4 linked regions of the Arabidopsis thaliana genome follow. The protein of the gene in region 3 interacts with the protein of the main gene of each other region in a pairwise test. Each region holds a gene or a part of one and is shown on either strand. Other genes may lie near its edges.

Region 1 (3,639 bases), 620 kb from region 3:
TTTGCTATGGTTACGTTCCAAGTTAATTACGGTTACTACTAATTTTCTTGATTAGTTACGCGTCATTTTCTAAACCTAAAGTCATTTACTAAGAAAGTTATGACTACAAATACCTTTCTTTTTTTATGGCTGCATCATCAGCCGCATATCTACTTCGATTGAGGAACAAACTATATTTAATGGCTCCGAAGAAAATCTAGTTAAACGCTGTTGGATCTTCTATGTGTCAAAAACTACGTAATGGAAGATAAAATATAGAGATAAAAAGTTGATATTTTATTATCTGATGATGTATGGATTTCACTTGGCACAGCCGCATAGATTACCACAAAACCACTTCACAACACTTTTTTCGCTGACTAATTTGCCTTCACAAAACCAACAAAACTCCAACAGCACGTAGCTTTTTGTTTATTTTCTCTTAATTAATTTTTAACCAACCTGAGCACTTAACCGATTTTCCTTTTTTCGTATTTATTTTTAAATAACTTCAATTAATTCCACTAATATAATAATTTGCATAATCGTAAATAAAAACATAAATCACCCGAAAATACTTTGATATTAAACACATTGATTATACACATTCCACTAACTTATTTTGAAATATTGAAATTTTTACACAACTAGCTATAGTTGGTTCTTCCTCTCTGCATTAACATAACAAAAAGAGAGAGAGAGAGAGAGCCAATTGCTTGATAAAAACGTTACATGCTGTGGATAATACTACTAGAGTAAATTATTTATTACATAACGGTGCAAGCGTTGGGATTCTCGTCGCTAAAAAGAGAAATGTAGTGGTTCTCGGGAGCTCCCGGCAACAGCTGCAACTGCGACTGCTCAGATTTCCTGACATAACCGGCCGGAGCTTTTTTGTCGTAAGTTCCGACCGCGTATGGATATGCGACCATGTTGTAAGGAACGTACGGCCATATCTCCGCTTTTTTCCCTGTCCTTTCGATTCTCTTTAATACCTTCTTTGGTTCCACGTATCCACTCACCGTCACTTTATGTATCTTTCTATTCACCTCCACCGATTTCACACCTGCGCGATTTTTATATTGATATAAAGACCGTGTTAATTTGGCTTGTTGTATGTAGAAATGGTTTGGCGTGCTTACATGAGTACTCGTTTAATGGAAATCAAAATTACAAAAAAACTTACAGAAACCATTCATGACATAAGTAGTCTACGAGTTGGAGATTCGAACCTTTCATGGAGGAAACCGCGTTCTTGACTCTGCGTTCACAACCATCGCAGTCCATTTTCACCTTTATATTCACCGTCTGCATGACTTTCCGCTTCCTCCTTTTTCTGGTGACGCGGAAGTAGTCGGAGATATACTCGGAAAGAGAATCAAGAGCTCCCATGTCTATTACTCTCACCAAGAAAGATCAGAGATGCATATATTATGGACTGGACTTGACCATATTTATAGCAAGTACATGGTGACTTAATGGACAAGTGTTATGCCGAGGATTAAGTACAATTAAATGTGTTTAATATTCGTAAAGTGTAATTAGAGAGATGTATATGTGGCCCTCTAATGATGTTTTCCTCCAAATACACACGTTGGACAACGAGGCCAATGTTTTTGGGCTAAAGCACACGACTCCCGCCGATTTCTTTGTTACAAAATTCTAATATCCGTTTTATATTAAAAAGCTAACTATAATAATAATAATAAACAGAAGAGTTTGTAGTTATAATTTCTTTTTTTCTAACAATGTCCGATCGGTCGTTTATAATAAAACAATGTCACGGGATTAGAGGTTTATCATCCACATCACCTGAGTCACCTCAAAATTCACATGCGTCAAAGTTAATTCATTGAGAATGGCAATTATGGTTGTGTAGATTCTTCTTTTACCATCTAATCTTTTTCTTTTACAATTTTGTTTATGATCATTTTCGTCGTATACATATATATGATGTCGGTATGTATATATAAGTTTATGAAAAAATTGTAATCGTGTATTGAAAACGACATGACCCTTCTAATTAATTTAACACTTTTGTTACTTTGGATAGGTACACGATCGGATGAATGATAATAGGGTTTATAGATAAACTACACAATCACACATTCAATTATTTCAATTTAGGTCAGAAACAGTAAAAGGGAATAGTTATAAGAGAAAAATAGAAAGGAATGTAGCAATTTAAAGGGCAATGATTCGATGAGAAAAAATAAGGTGTGGGGGTCCGATCTTATACGAAGTAGACAACTCAATCAAACTATTTAGGTAGTCTATAGTTTGAAATAAGAATTGTTATAAAGCCCCTCCACATCTTTTTATTATGTACATTTAGACATTTTTGTTTTTTGCTTTATACTTTCCACCCTATAAACTTCGTTGGCATTTTCTTCTCTTACACCCCAATTATCATATTCTTCTTAGACCTCTTTTTTTTTTTCCTTTTACAAAATTATATTTTTTCTATTTTTCTCTTCTAAGCTACTCAACACAATTGATCGAATTTCAATTTTGAGTTAAAGTACCCCACGAGTAATTCTTGAAAAAAATTCAGCAATATACTAAAGAGGGGTGTTACCGATATGAAGTTAATTCCATAAGAGGGTTTCATTGAAATAGCCAGTGACAACATAAAATCTCGAGATTACCAAATCGACAGCTATTATATAGCATGCCATAGCATTTAGCATAGCCTCACTTTCAAAATTAAAGGTTACTAAATCAAGGAAACATAAGCTTTGATCAATGGATTATGCATGTCCACATCCTTCATTTACAAAAAAGAACACAACAACTGTTTTTAACTATCTACTATTTGTGAAAAGAAAAAATCATCATAGCCCATTCAATTACTTTGACCCATTCTTGTTTGTTTAATAACATTGACTTGTCCATTTCTCATAACGAAATAACAGTGTTTTCTATATGGTGACTACATCATACACTTTTGCTCGGATAGAAAACTGTCTCTAAATGCTCAGAGCTCTGAAATTTTGGATAGATCATAGATCATAACTATTCAATAGTCCAAAAATATCAAACAAAATGTAGTAATAGAGATAAACAAGAAGAGAAAACAGAGCCATGAAACCCACTTCAGCCAACAAGTTGGGTTTTCCTCAGCCTATCCATCTTTACAACCAAATCCGTGACTTTATCTTTCCGGCCTTCATCGAGAAGTGTTTGTTTAAGACGGCTAAACATATGTCCCGGTGGCCTAATACCCACATCCAACATCTCATTGAAATACTCACAAGCCTCGTCTAATTTGTTCTCATGGCACAGAGCTGTGATCAAACTTGAGAACATGTGCATTCCTGGAAGAACACCTTTCCCTTTCATCTCGTCCCAAATCTTGATCGCCATATCCAATCTCTCTTTGTTACAAAACATCCTCACCATGATCTCGTAAGTACTCACCGTCGGTTCACAACTCATCGTCTGATAAACTTCATACGCTTCTTTCGAGCGCTGCATTCTAATCAAATGATGAAGAATTATATCATAAGTTCTAGCATTTGGCCCAACCCCTTTTAATCTCATCTCATCAACGGTTTTGTATGCGTCTTCCATTCGCTGTGACCAGCAATAAGCACCTACTAGCGCATTGTAAGTAGGTGCTTCAAGAGGAAACCCGGAACTCTTTGATCTCTCAAAGAA
Region 2 (4,109 bases), on a different chromosome or scaffold from region 3:
GTCTTTAAGATTTGGCCATCTAATACCATCACTATCCTTTTCCCATTAAACAATATAACATCTTTATCCATATCCTTTTAAATATATATATATCAATTTCTCTAACAAATTTTGAACGTTCTTTAAACAGCTGTACAATATTACTATTTCAAACCTTACGGCTTGCAAATGCCATTGCACATAAATGAATATATACACAACTATCGCGTGCGAAATTTCTTTATGCCACATGTGTTTATATAAATAGTATTTTTATATTTTACAAAAGTATACTAGTGCTATAGGCTAGAAATCATCTCAGATAAACATACATTTTTGGTCATGTTCGCTATGATATGGTTACCGTCATCAGCGAAAGATGATGACAAATCTATTGTTCGTTTTAGCTGGTACTAATATTAAACGATGAGCGATAGCGAGCAAAGTCATATTCGCTTTATGGTTCCTAGATTATCGATATATTATGGCGATTAATATAATAAATTATGAATCGCTGATTCGTTGTTAATGATAATACTACATGATGTTGACACAAAAATGTGTCATGAATGATAAGGAAACTTTCACATTTCTATCGTTTATCGTTAGCAATAGCAAGTACAAAACTTATAGATCCAATGCAATATCTGTTTTTCTAATAAATAATTGATCAATACAAAAGTTCCAGCTATAAAAGTTTACAAAAATGTAAATGTCAGGACAAATGACGACGAATATACAATACAAGTCGTAGAACCTAAATCTAACCCTAGAGTTCGAATTCTACGCTATATTAATTAACTAATCTGACACGGACAAAAAATAAAAATATGTTTTTCTTATTACGTTACCATTACACAATCAAATAAACCCGAACCCACTAGATTGTTGACCCGAGTACCCAAATCCGTTAACCGGGTCAACACTAAAACCCTGATTAGCCGAGACGTCCGAGTTATTATTAAACCGAGGAATCCCCTCAGTTTGTTGCTGCGTTCCACCGTCACCGTAACGAATACTCGGAACGTTATGACTCAGTCCGAGTTCCGGGACCGAGTTCTGTCCAATCAAATTCGCCCAATCAAAACTTGGCTCCCTGGCTAAACCCTGAAACCCGGTTTTATGATTGGTTAAAACCGGTCTATGACTATGAGGCAGCGCGTTTGATGAACCGGCGGCAAACCCCAAACTTCTGTTGTCAATCTCATGCAACGACTCGAGAACGTCGTCGTATTGATGAGACGAAGAAGATGTCGACGAACCATTGTTGCTGTATTCACGACCACTCGTCATTAGATTATTGTAAGCTTGTTTTTGTGCGCTTGTTTGCTTTTTGTATATTCGACATAAAACCCAATCATCAAGCTGAACATAAAAACAGTTTAAAATATGTTATTCGTTGAACAGTATAATTACAATTACTATATACTTATCTTTTTGGATACATCATGTATTTAACTAAATTTATACCTTGGTGCTTCCATTTCGACGAGAGGGTTCGATGAGACGGTACTCATGCATAATCCAATTGGTTTTGGTTCCTTTTGGAGCTTTTCCAATGTAAAACACCAAAGCTTTCTTGATACCAACTCTTCTTCCCTCCGTCGAGATAACTTTATCCGTACCGGTGGCTTTCCAATAACCCGACCCGGCAACCCGATTAGGTCTTGACCCGTTTGGATACTTCCTATCCCTCGGGCTGAAAAAATACCATTCTTTTTCACCGAATAACGCCTTACCTACAAAGAACCAAAAAGACAAGTTAGAAGAGAAAAAAACATAACTAGCTACAAAGAAACCAAACACGGTTAAGGTTATTAGGTTATACGTACTTGGTAAAACCCATGGATCAAACTTGTAGAGATCGATTTCAGCTATGAGCTGGAGAGAGAAGTCGTGACCGGCGGCTTTTCTACAGAGATATTCAACCATCAGCTCTTCGTCAGTCGGATAAAACCGAAAACCCGGCGGTAAGCTCAATTGGGCTAACGGGTCAAGCTCTTGGAGACCCATTTTTCCTATCACCTCTTTCTCTAGGACAAAGAAAATATCTGCACTTTTTATAGAAAACAATCACAAAACTATCTTCTTTGATTTTCTTTTTTGTATTCTGAGATTAAAGATTTCGAAGCTCTGCTACTCGTGTATGTATATATATAATATAATATTACACCGCCGCCCAATCTTCGTTAACGTGCAGCCTCAATACGGGTCCCACTTTATGTTTATCATGACACGTGGATCAATTAGAGCGTCGTGATTTATGCGATCCCTTTGGTTCTTTGAACCTATACCATAAAGTTGATTATTTATATTAGTAATGTTGTAATATTGTGTGTGTGACTGTACCTCCTCTTATGATTTTTTTTTTGTATTGTCAATGGTCTTCCCAAGTATTAGGGAGTTAACTGAAAGTAATTTGCGAATATTTGTAAGTTCAGAAAAACAAATTAGGTGATTCTTAAGACTAGTGATTTTTCATGCAATTTACGCGGTAAATTTCTATGAATGAGTTACATAACAGTGACAATCTACGAAAAGTATTATGAAAAATAAGAAGTATTTTTTTTTTAATGGGTATGTGCCAAATTGTTTTTTTTTGGTCGTCAAGAAGAAAAAACACGTGTAAGTGAATGATGGGATGAGTTCACTGGATGGTAACATGGAAAGCGTTTTTCATACGGATAGAACTACCACAAGCCGACACATGTCTTGTGTCTATTGGTTGAGTTAGGCGGGATATTTTTCTTTCGTCAAAAGCCGTTAAAGATCAGAGAGAGGGACAAACAACAAACACGAGTTGATGATGCAGACTCTCGTTATTTTTCTATTTGATCCATATGAGACTGTAATTTTTGATTGAAATCAGATGAAACTGTAATTGTGAAACGATAGTATACAATCAGAGGTACCAAGAAATTAGGCTTTTGTGGTTGAGAAATGGGAACACAAGATTTTCGTAAGTCCGTATAACACAAACACGCTTCTCTTCAAACACTTTTTTGTGTACGTGAAAAAGGAACATTTTACCAATTGAAAATAAAGTTCAATTACAATTTTCTTGCAAGTAGATTTATATTTAACCAATTTATGGCGGTTTATTGATTAACATATTTATTTAAGCATTCGAGAACGTACGTGATTTCAATCATGATTAACATAGTTGAGCTTTGATTCATGGTTCTCGATTTTTTTTTAAAATAGGTAAAACAGGAATCTTAGTTAGAAGTCAGATCGTTTATCAGCAAATTTATCGTAGATATATCATATATGTATGTAAGTTTAGGCTTTTTTTTTTTTTTTCTTATTCATTGAATTTTTTGGCTTTCTACTGATAGTTTTTTCTCGGTAAAAAGTTAATTAGCAAACTAGTAGCCCAAAAAATGAAAAATAAAGTTAATTAGCTAACTTTAATTGATATCTTGTGATCACATGTACATGGTGCTGTAAAAATAATTCTAAGCGAATATAACAAGGAATTTGGGGTTTCTTACACTCAATATCTTTCGTGTCACGGTGCATTTGGTGTTAATTCGTTTCTATTTATAATGGTTCTCTTCCATTAAAGATACATCAATTGGTATAGAACGGGGTGATCAAAGTTTTTTTAAAAGCTTTTGTTCTTCTCCTTTTCGGGATTTTTTTGTTAATGTTGGAAGATAATATCCACACACAGGTCTTTAGTTTTAGATAACTAATTAACATTATGCTATTTTAGCGATGTCATGCATATATCATAACGTGTATGTCATGCATATATCATAATTACATAACGTGTAACCCCGTAAATTTGGGTCAAAATACAAAAGTGTATTAAGAATTGATGACGTGGATATCAAGGTGGTATAAGTTTCAACTTTTGACATGTGAGTTTAGTTAATGGTTTGCTGAATAAACCATATGGCTAAACCAATAAACTTCCAATAATAATATGAATATCACACTTATTACAACTTAACCTCAATCTTCCTATATAAAATCAAAGTGCGCCAATGAAATTCGAACTCGAATGCTTTACATTGTAATGGTATAATTATTTTTCTACCATATATAAAATTTGATAATCTGGAGCACCATGAGCTCCCTCCACAAGCATAATCCAGTAAATAGTACAATATCCCCAATTGCTA
Region 3 (3,797 bases):
TTGTGTCATTTACCTACTTATTCAATAGGTATATACATAGATAGAAACGTTACGCAAAAATGACCCCATGATCATATGACATTTAAAATTTCGGCTACAAATGACTTTTTCTCCAACCTTAGTGGCCGGTTTGCGGGATGCGCGTGCTATTTCGGTCATTGACAAGATCGTTAGGAGATTGTTCTAATCCGTCTTTATGATTCTAATTGTGATACGAGTAAATAAATTGTTAAATCAAAGTCTCTGTCAACGAATTATTAGTAAAACAATAAATACGTTTATTTAATTATTTTTATTGTATGGTCAAATATCTCCCGATTGTTGTAAATTGGATTCTAATTAAGCGTGATTGGTGACTAGGTTTATGATAAACGACAAAACGTAACACCAACTGTTATTCATTTATTCTCCTCGCAAACAATGCTTTAATTAGTCTCATTTCAGGGATCAGACTCTTAACTATACATTAATGAATAATTTATATGCCTTTCAATAAGATTTTAAGTTAATTAAACGAGTATCCAAAGCTTAACGAAATGAATGTTGATGTCTGATTTGTTTTGTTACTTTAATTCTAAAGAGTAAAGACCTTAGTAATTATAATTAATAACAAAATTAGCCATGCAGTTTGATCTTACCAATAACATTCACATGTAGTAACATTGTAACTTATAAGAAAAGGTTCATCATTTTTTTCATGAATGGATCATCATAAAAGTAACAATAACTAGTCACAAAATGTTCCTTCAATTTTTATTTTTTTGATAGAAACTATATTTGTTGTAAAAACAAACCCTATAAGAATCGATATGGAAAATGGCTAATGAAGATTCAAAATAATTGTGGGGTACTTAGAAGAGGAAGACTTGAAGACATACACCACATAATTGTGACCCAAAAGCTAATCAATAACGTAAGCAAAATGCGAAAGAACACTAAATTTCGGCGCCACACTAATGACAAGAAGTGAGAATAAAAGGTCGGTAAGAGATAAGAGTCTTTCCAAAGGGTGGTTAAGGAATTTAGACATTTAAATTTCATGATTAATTACGAAACATGAAGTTTGGCAATTGTCACAACAAACTCTTCTTTGCTCCACGATTGAGTCAAGTATTAAGTATTCGTGCGAAAGAAGTTCTTTTAGAGGTGTTTTCGGTAATCTACAAAATCTTCTAGTTGTTTAGCACTTTTCCTTTTGGAACGAATTAGTACATTAGCATAAGTCAAATATTTCACTAGAACACGTAATACCTATACTAGTAAGAAATTTTATTGACTTTATTGTTTAGTTAGATTATCGTTATAGGAAAATTTACGATTTTAGACCTCTAGATAAGAAAATGGTCCCTAAACAGAATCAAAATTGAAAAGATTAAAACGTTTTAGTATAAAAATGCAGGGGTGATACAGTGAAATTAACAGAAGTATGGGGTGGTAACGTAAACTCTTAAAAATAAGAAACTGTAATATGTACAGTGGAATATGAAACTGCAGGGCAGCTGTAATTGTCCTTTAGTACGATGCATGTAATGGGCTATTGCCACGTATACACTTTGGACTCAAATCTTCCAACTAATCCCATCCTCTCCTTCGAATATATTCGATTAATTAAAATTTTATGTCACGCTCAGAAATTATTCATCTTTTTTATTTCTTTTACACAACAAGTTACCCACTGGTGAAAGTGAAAACCCATATCTTACAAATGTCCCGTAAAATCATTGCTTTCTGATAAGACCTCAGATTCAATATTTTATACAGGTTCAAAGTGTATAGTCTGTCTATATAACGTATGAATAGATATCAAAACTAGTGACTAAAATATTCAAAAAAATCTCTGTTTCACCAAAACAAGAAAAAAAAAAAGTAAAAAAGAAGTTGTGAATTTTCATTGATATACAGTGAGTGTTTTCTTTCTTTTGCTGTATGTTTTGGACGTTTGTGAGTAAGCACTTATTATTATTTTCCAAGTCCTAATTATATTTCATCACTGCCATGTTCTTTACCGATATAATTACATCATCGTCACATGCACTTACATAATTATCCTTTTTTAATAAATAAAATAAAACTACAAAACCTAATCTTCTCATTAATCACAAAAGCAAAAGATTTAAGTAAACACACTATAAAGACAGAACTAAACAAAAGCTATGGATTTGTCTTCCAAACCACAACAACAACTTCTAAACTCTCTTCCCATCGCCGGAGAACTAACTGTCACCGGAGAAATGGGTGTTTGTTACAAAGAGTGTTTGAAAAACCACGCGGCTAATCTCGGCGGCCATGCTCTCGACGGTTGCGGCGAGTTTATGCCGAGTCCCACGGCTACTTCCACCGATCCTTCTTCTCTCCGTTGCGCTGCTTGTGGCTGCCACCGTAACTTCCACCGCCGTGACCCTTCCGAGAATCTCAACTTCCTCACCGCGCCTCCGATTTCTTCTCCCTCCGGCACTGAGTCGCCGCCGTCTCGTCACGTGTCTTCTCCTGTTCCTTGCTCTTACTACACCTCAGCTCCTCCACATCACGTGATTCTCTCTCTCAGCTCCGGTTTCCCTGGACCGTCAGATCAAGATCCAACGGTGGTTAGGTCAGAGAACAGTTCAAGAGGAGCAATGAGGAAACGAACAAGAACCAAATTCACGCCGGAGCAGAAGATCAAGATGAGAGCCTTCGCAGAGAAAGCTGGTTGGAAAATCAACGGATGTGATGAAAAGTCGGTGAGAGAGTTTTGTAACGAAGTTGGGATTGAGAGAGGAGTTCTTAAAGTGTGGATGCATAACAACAAGTACTCACTTCTCAATGGCAAGATCAGAGAGATCGAACATGGCCTGTGTCTGAACACTCACAGCAATGATGGTGATGGGTCTTCATCTTCTTGAAGAAAGATTCAAGATTCGGGTTAAACCGAATTAGGATACTTTAATTTGGGAAAATATGAGCATTAACCGGTTTAAAATCATATAATAGTGTCTTTTCTCTAACATGTAATCGATCTTGATATAAATATTTATGCGGTTTGATCTTTTCTATTTTCATCACTTTGACAGAGATGTGGTCAGAGATCACAAATGGGTTTGGTAATAAATAAGTTTTTAAATCGGAGGTTGAAACGAATTTTGATAGACCATTTCTAATTATAGTAAGTGCATAAGCGCTAATTGTGATCGTAGAGATCAAAAGATTCGTTTCTTTGTTTACTTTCTGATTATTCAATGTTATCTTCTGTATTATTAGAAATAAATCTCCTGAACTTTAGAGATAGAGTAAGTAAAGTTTGCTTAATGAAGATACGACGACGTGGTTATTACGAATTGCAACAAACTATGGCGTGGCGGAATATAATTAGGTCACTGGGCGGCACATTTTTGTTGTTAATTTATATGATATGATTAAAAGTTATTAAAATGCTGGCTTATCTCTTTCCATTTAGGGATAAGCTTTGGCAACACCAATCTTGCTTATTTATCCTAATTAAGTACAATGCAGATGTTACGATTACTAAAATATCTACTATGTGCAATGATTTGGCTCTTCCCGCACCACTGATATTAAAAATTCGTTTTTTTTCTTTCATTCATCATGTATTAACGAATCATAGCGAATGCTTTATCACGTATAAATGGTCGTAAGTTCAATGCCGGAGACAAAGTATTTTACCATGTATGTACGAAGTAACGAAGCCCAAGCCTTAACAAAAGGCCGGTACGAATATCCATGCCAGATAGATCAATGTATGCAAAAGCTCTATGTAGATACGAGTAACTGCATGCAATGATTAATGATCAATATATGGT
Region 4 (3,884 bases), 6.5 Mb from region 3:
GTTAGATTATATTATAATATAAATTTCAAGAAAAATTCATTCGTAAATTTTTTTCATTTATGAAATACCACAACTGCATGAAAACTAATCAATGGATAAATACAGACAAAAAAAATTACATCAATACGTGATCTTATAAAACAAAATCTGAATATATGTATAGGGTCTATAGCTAATTTCAATTTCGATTATATTATATGCAAACTTGATGTGGATTACTTATTTTTCGGTTAAGATGTTTTATCTATGGTGGATTTACATAAAACTCAACAAATAATTTTGCTAAGTCCTTAAATTAGTTAGACATATTGGTGAAACCGACACTAAAAATGTAGATAAAAATATTAATTTATACATTATCCAACAAGGATTTTATCCAAATCGTGGTATCTATGTGATCTAATGGTTATAAGTGGAATTTAGGTGTTCTAAACATGCTCAATTAGTCAATTATATACTTCACTTTCCAACTCAAAACAGCATATTCCGAGCGAACAATATGGATTTTTATACTATAACACCCAATTTCTAAATTAAACAAAAATTGCGACCATTATATATGGTTCTATCTTTTAAAAACCATGGAACTAAATGATGAAACTATGAAGTTTTTTTTTCACAAAAAAAAAAAAGAAACTATGAAGTTTTTTACCCTATATTTTTTTTAAAAAAGATACTATGAAGCTTTGAAGCAGCTACTACGAGTTGTGTTTGTTAATGTTTCTGAAAACAAAAATAAATTGAAAAAATCTTTAGTCAACATCAACTCGTGTTTTTTCTCTTCTCCCATCGTTATAACGTCTTTTTGACAAATGACAAATTGCGCCTAACTTCTACGATAGACACGTGGACACGTGTCGTCATGATGTAGTTTTGTCCGTATGGAAAACGCTTTCCATGTTGTAACCTAAGATACATTGAACAGTTCCTTTGTCCTTTCAACTTCGCTTTTTTCGAAGCTCTTTCCCTTACCCTACCACAACATTACGCGTGTCCTTCTTATTACAACATTTGGCACATATACATTTCAGAAAACCCGTCAACAAAAAACACGTGAAATAAAATATCTCTTCCTTTACCAGTTCACATATTTCATGGTTACTGTTCAATCATTTCGCCAAAAAATCTTTTTTTTTTTGGGTACAAATTTGGCCAAATAATTGTTCCTTTATTCTGAAATTCAGTCCCCTACACGAATATATAGACCACCAAAAAGTACATGGACGGTTCAATGTTGATTAAATCGACCAAGATAAAGTCAATAATGTTTTGTGGTTTAGATGTCGTCTGGTTACTATATTGACAATAAACTTTGTAAATAAAAAATATCCTTAAAAAAAAAAAAAAAATCCTAAAAGGAAAATCGAAAATCATTTTTTTAATTTGTTTTACATTACTTAAATAATTAAATAGACAATCCTAGGAAAAAAATCTCGATTAAATTAAATATTATATGTGAACTCCAAATGTCTAAGCAGCAAATTTCCAAACATTCATTTGAATCTTATTTTGATTGGAAAATACTTTTAAATTTAGCGGAACATTATTGATAAATAGATGAATAAACAAATGTTAATAAAAAAAACCATTTAAAAAAAATAGTACGAGGAAGAGCTAAATCTACTCATGTAGGTTCAATGAACTCAAGGGATTGCATAAATCACGACGATCTAACTGACACACGTGTCAGAATTCAAAAGTGTTTATAGATAAACACAAAAATGGGTCCCATATTCAGTACACACGTTAATCAGCGGCGGTGGATTCACCTATACACTGCGTCCATATATAAGTAGCACGAGACCCAAACATTATTGTCAAAAATAAGAAAGAAAGAAAAAAATATGGGTATCCAAGAAACTGACCCGTTAACGCAATTGAGTTTACCACCGGGTTTCCGATTTTACCCGACCGATGAAGAGCTTATGGTTCAATATCTCTGTAGAAAAGCAGCTGGTTACGATTTCTCTCTTCAGCTCATCGCCGAAATAGATCTTTACAAATTCGATCCATGGGTTTTACCAAGTAAGTATATACTAATTGAAACCCTTCTCAAAAAATGTTTATTTTTCTTAACAGAGATTCATAATTTTCTTGGTTTTTCTTCTTTTGTGATTTATAGATAAAGCATTATTTGGAGAAAAAGAATGGTATTTTTTTAGTCCTAGGGATAGAAAATATCCAAACGGGTCAAGACCTAACCGGGTTGCCGGATCGGGTTATTGGAAAGCTACGGGTACGGATAAAATAATCTCGACGGAAGGACAAAGAGTTGGTATTAAAAAAGCTTTGGTGTTTTACATCGGAAAAGCTCCTAAAGGTACTAAAACCAATTGGATCATGCATGAGTATCGTCTCATTGAACCTTCTCGTAGAAACGGAAGCACTAAGGTAACAAATAAAATCTAAACATTAATAAATACTATATCTTATATTTTCTTCTTGTAGTGTTTTGAATGACCTATAATTAATATTCTTGTTAATTTTCTTTAGTTGGATGATTGGGTTCTATGTCGAATATACAAGAAGCAATCAAGTGCACAAAAACAAGTTTACGATAATGGAATCGCGAATGCTAGAGAATTCAGCAACAACGGTACTTCGTCCACGACGTCGTCTTCTTCTCACTTTGAAGACGTTCTTGATTCGTTTCATCAAGAGATCGACAACAGAAATTTCCAGTTTTCTAACCCAAACCGCATCTCGTCGCTCAGACCGGACTTAACCGAACAGAAAACCGGGTTCCACGGTCTTGCGGATACTTCTAACTTCGATTGGGCTAGTTTTGCCGGTAATGTTGAGCATAATAACTCGGTACCGGAACTCGGAATGAGTCATGTTGTTCCTAATCTCGAGTACAACTGTGGCTACCTGAAGACGGAGGAGGAAGTCGAGAGCAGTCACGGGTTTAATAACTCGGGCGAGTTAGCTCAAAAGGGTTATGGTGTTGACTCGTTTGGGTATTCGGGGCAAGTTGGTGGGTTTGGGTTTATGTGATGATGAAATGCTGACGCAATAAAAATAAGTCGTTAATTTTTGTCCCGTGGCAAATCTTATATGTATTTGAATTTCAATTCTTTTGGGTTAAGAGGGAGACTCATAGATTTAGATGTAGATTTGTAATCTTTCATGCATAGAAAATTTGACGAATAGATTTCGTAACTTTATTTTGTTGCTGTTTGGTTATCTTTGTATTGGTATAAATTTAGTGGATTGAAATTGCATATTGATATATTGTTTAGTTGTGGCTAGCTATACATGTAAGTTTAATTGTTTGAGCTATCCAAAAGAATATATTTAACTATCTCATGCATTTTTAATATAAGCATACGTTATGTAATCATAAACCTACATACAAATCTTTTCTGTTTACGAATATATAGTAACACACCACAAATTGAGAGACTTACTGTATATACTGTATTTGAAAAAGGAGCGTTGGGTTAGCTGAACTTAGGTGTGTAACGTGGGCTTGCTTGTTTGACCATCTTGACAAGAGATTGTAGAGAAACAGTTTATACCGTACAAGTTTCAAACACATGTTTATTGTGGGTCGACTAAATGCGTTTGCAATTAGGGTATGAATGATAAGAGTAAAACACGGAATACTCGATTTTTTAACTGTACCTAGGAAAATCCGACCTAATAGTTTAAATTTAATTTCTGACATGAATCATGTAAAAGTTTAAGAACATCTCTAATAAAGAGTTTTCAAAACATTAAAATAACGAAATAAAGAATTGAAAGTACCAAAAATAACCATTTAGTTCAAAAGAGGATGAGAATACTCAAAAAGGGTTTTAAACTATTCGAGATGTTCTTATTTTGATTTAGAGTGCGCGTTAACACAATCTCTAGTACACATTAGCCACATTGTTACTGAA

The links.
Region 1: the proteins of ZFHD1 (region 3) and HIPP20 interact in a two-hybrid assay, tested with the Arabidopsis thaliana proteins (one study listed by BioGRID).
Region 2: the proteins of ZFHD1 (region 3) and NAC3 interact in a two-hybrid assay, tested with the Arabidopsis thaliana proteins (one study listed by BioGRID).
Region 4: the proteins of ZFHD1 (region 3) and NAC019 interact in a two-hybrid assay, tested with the Arabidopsis thaliana proteins (one study listed by BioGRID).

What each region holds. Positions count from the first base shown.
Region 1 is NC_003070.9:26,802,576-26,806,214, forward strand, and holds HIPP20 (Heavy metal transport/detoxification superfamily protein), read right to left. Parts: upstream 1,718-3,639; 5' UTR 1,372-1,717; coding exon 1,212-1,371; intron 1,046-1,211; coding exon 747-1,045; 3' UTR 522-746; downstream 1-521. Other genes in the region: AT1G71060 (Tetratricopeptide repeat (TPR)-like superfamily protein), read right to left, coding at 3,076-3,639. UniProt on the Arabidopsis thaliana protein: Heavy-metal-binding protein. Binds cadmium. May be involved in cadmium transport and play a role in cadmium detoxification.
Region 2 is NC_003074.8:5,232,614-5,236,722, reverse strand, and holds NAC3 (NAC domain containing protein 3), read right to left. Parts: upstream 2,267-4,109; 5' UTR 1,993-2,266; coding exon 1,812-1,992; intron 1,719-1,811; coding exon 1,450-1,718; intron 1,345-1,449; coding exon 841-1,344; 3' UTR 527-840; downstream 1-526. UniProt on the Arabidopsis thaliana protein: Transcription factors that bind specifically to the 5'-CATGTG-3' motif.
Region 3 is NC_003070.9:26,180,317-26,184,113, forward strand, and holds ZFHD1 (zinc finger homeodomain 1), read left to right. Parts: upstream 1-1,839; 5' UTR 1,840-2,153; coding exon 2,154-2,882; 3' UTR 2,883-3,230; downstream 3,231-3,797. UniProt on the Arabidopsis thaliana protein: Transcription factor involved in the up-regulation of several stress-inducible genes. Acts as a transcriptional activator by interacting with MED25 and NAC proteins. Involved in increased drought tolerance.
Region 4 is NC_003070.9:19,696,405-19,700,288, reverse strand, and holds NAC019 (NAC domain containing protein 19), read left to right. Parts: upstream 1-1,806; 5' UTR 1,807-1,844; coding exon 1,845-2,025; intron 2,026-2,122; coding exon 2,123-2,391; intron 2,392-2,493; coding exon 2,494-2,997; 3' UTR 2,998-3,366; downstream 3,367-3,884. UniProt on the Arabidopsis thaliana protein: Transcription factors that bind specifically to the 5'-CATGTG-3' motif.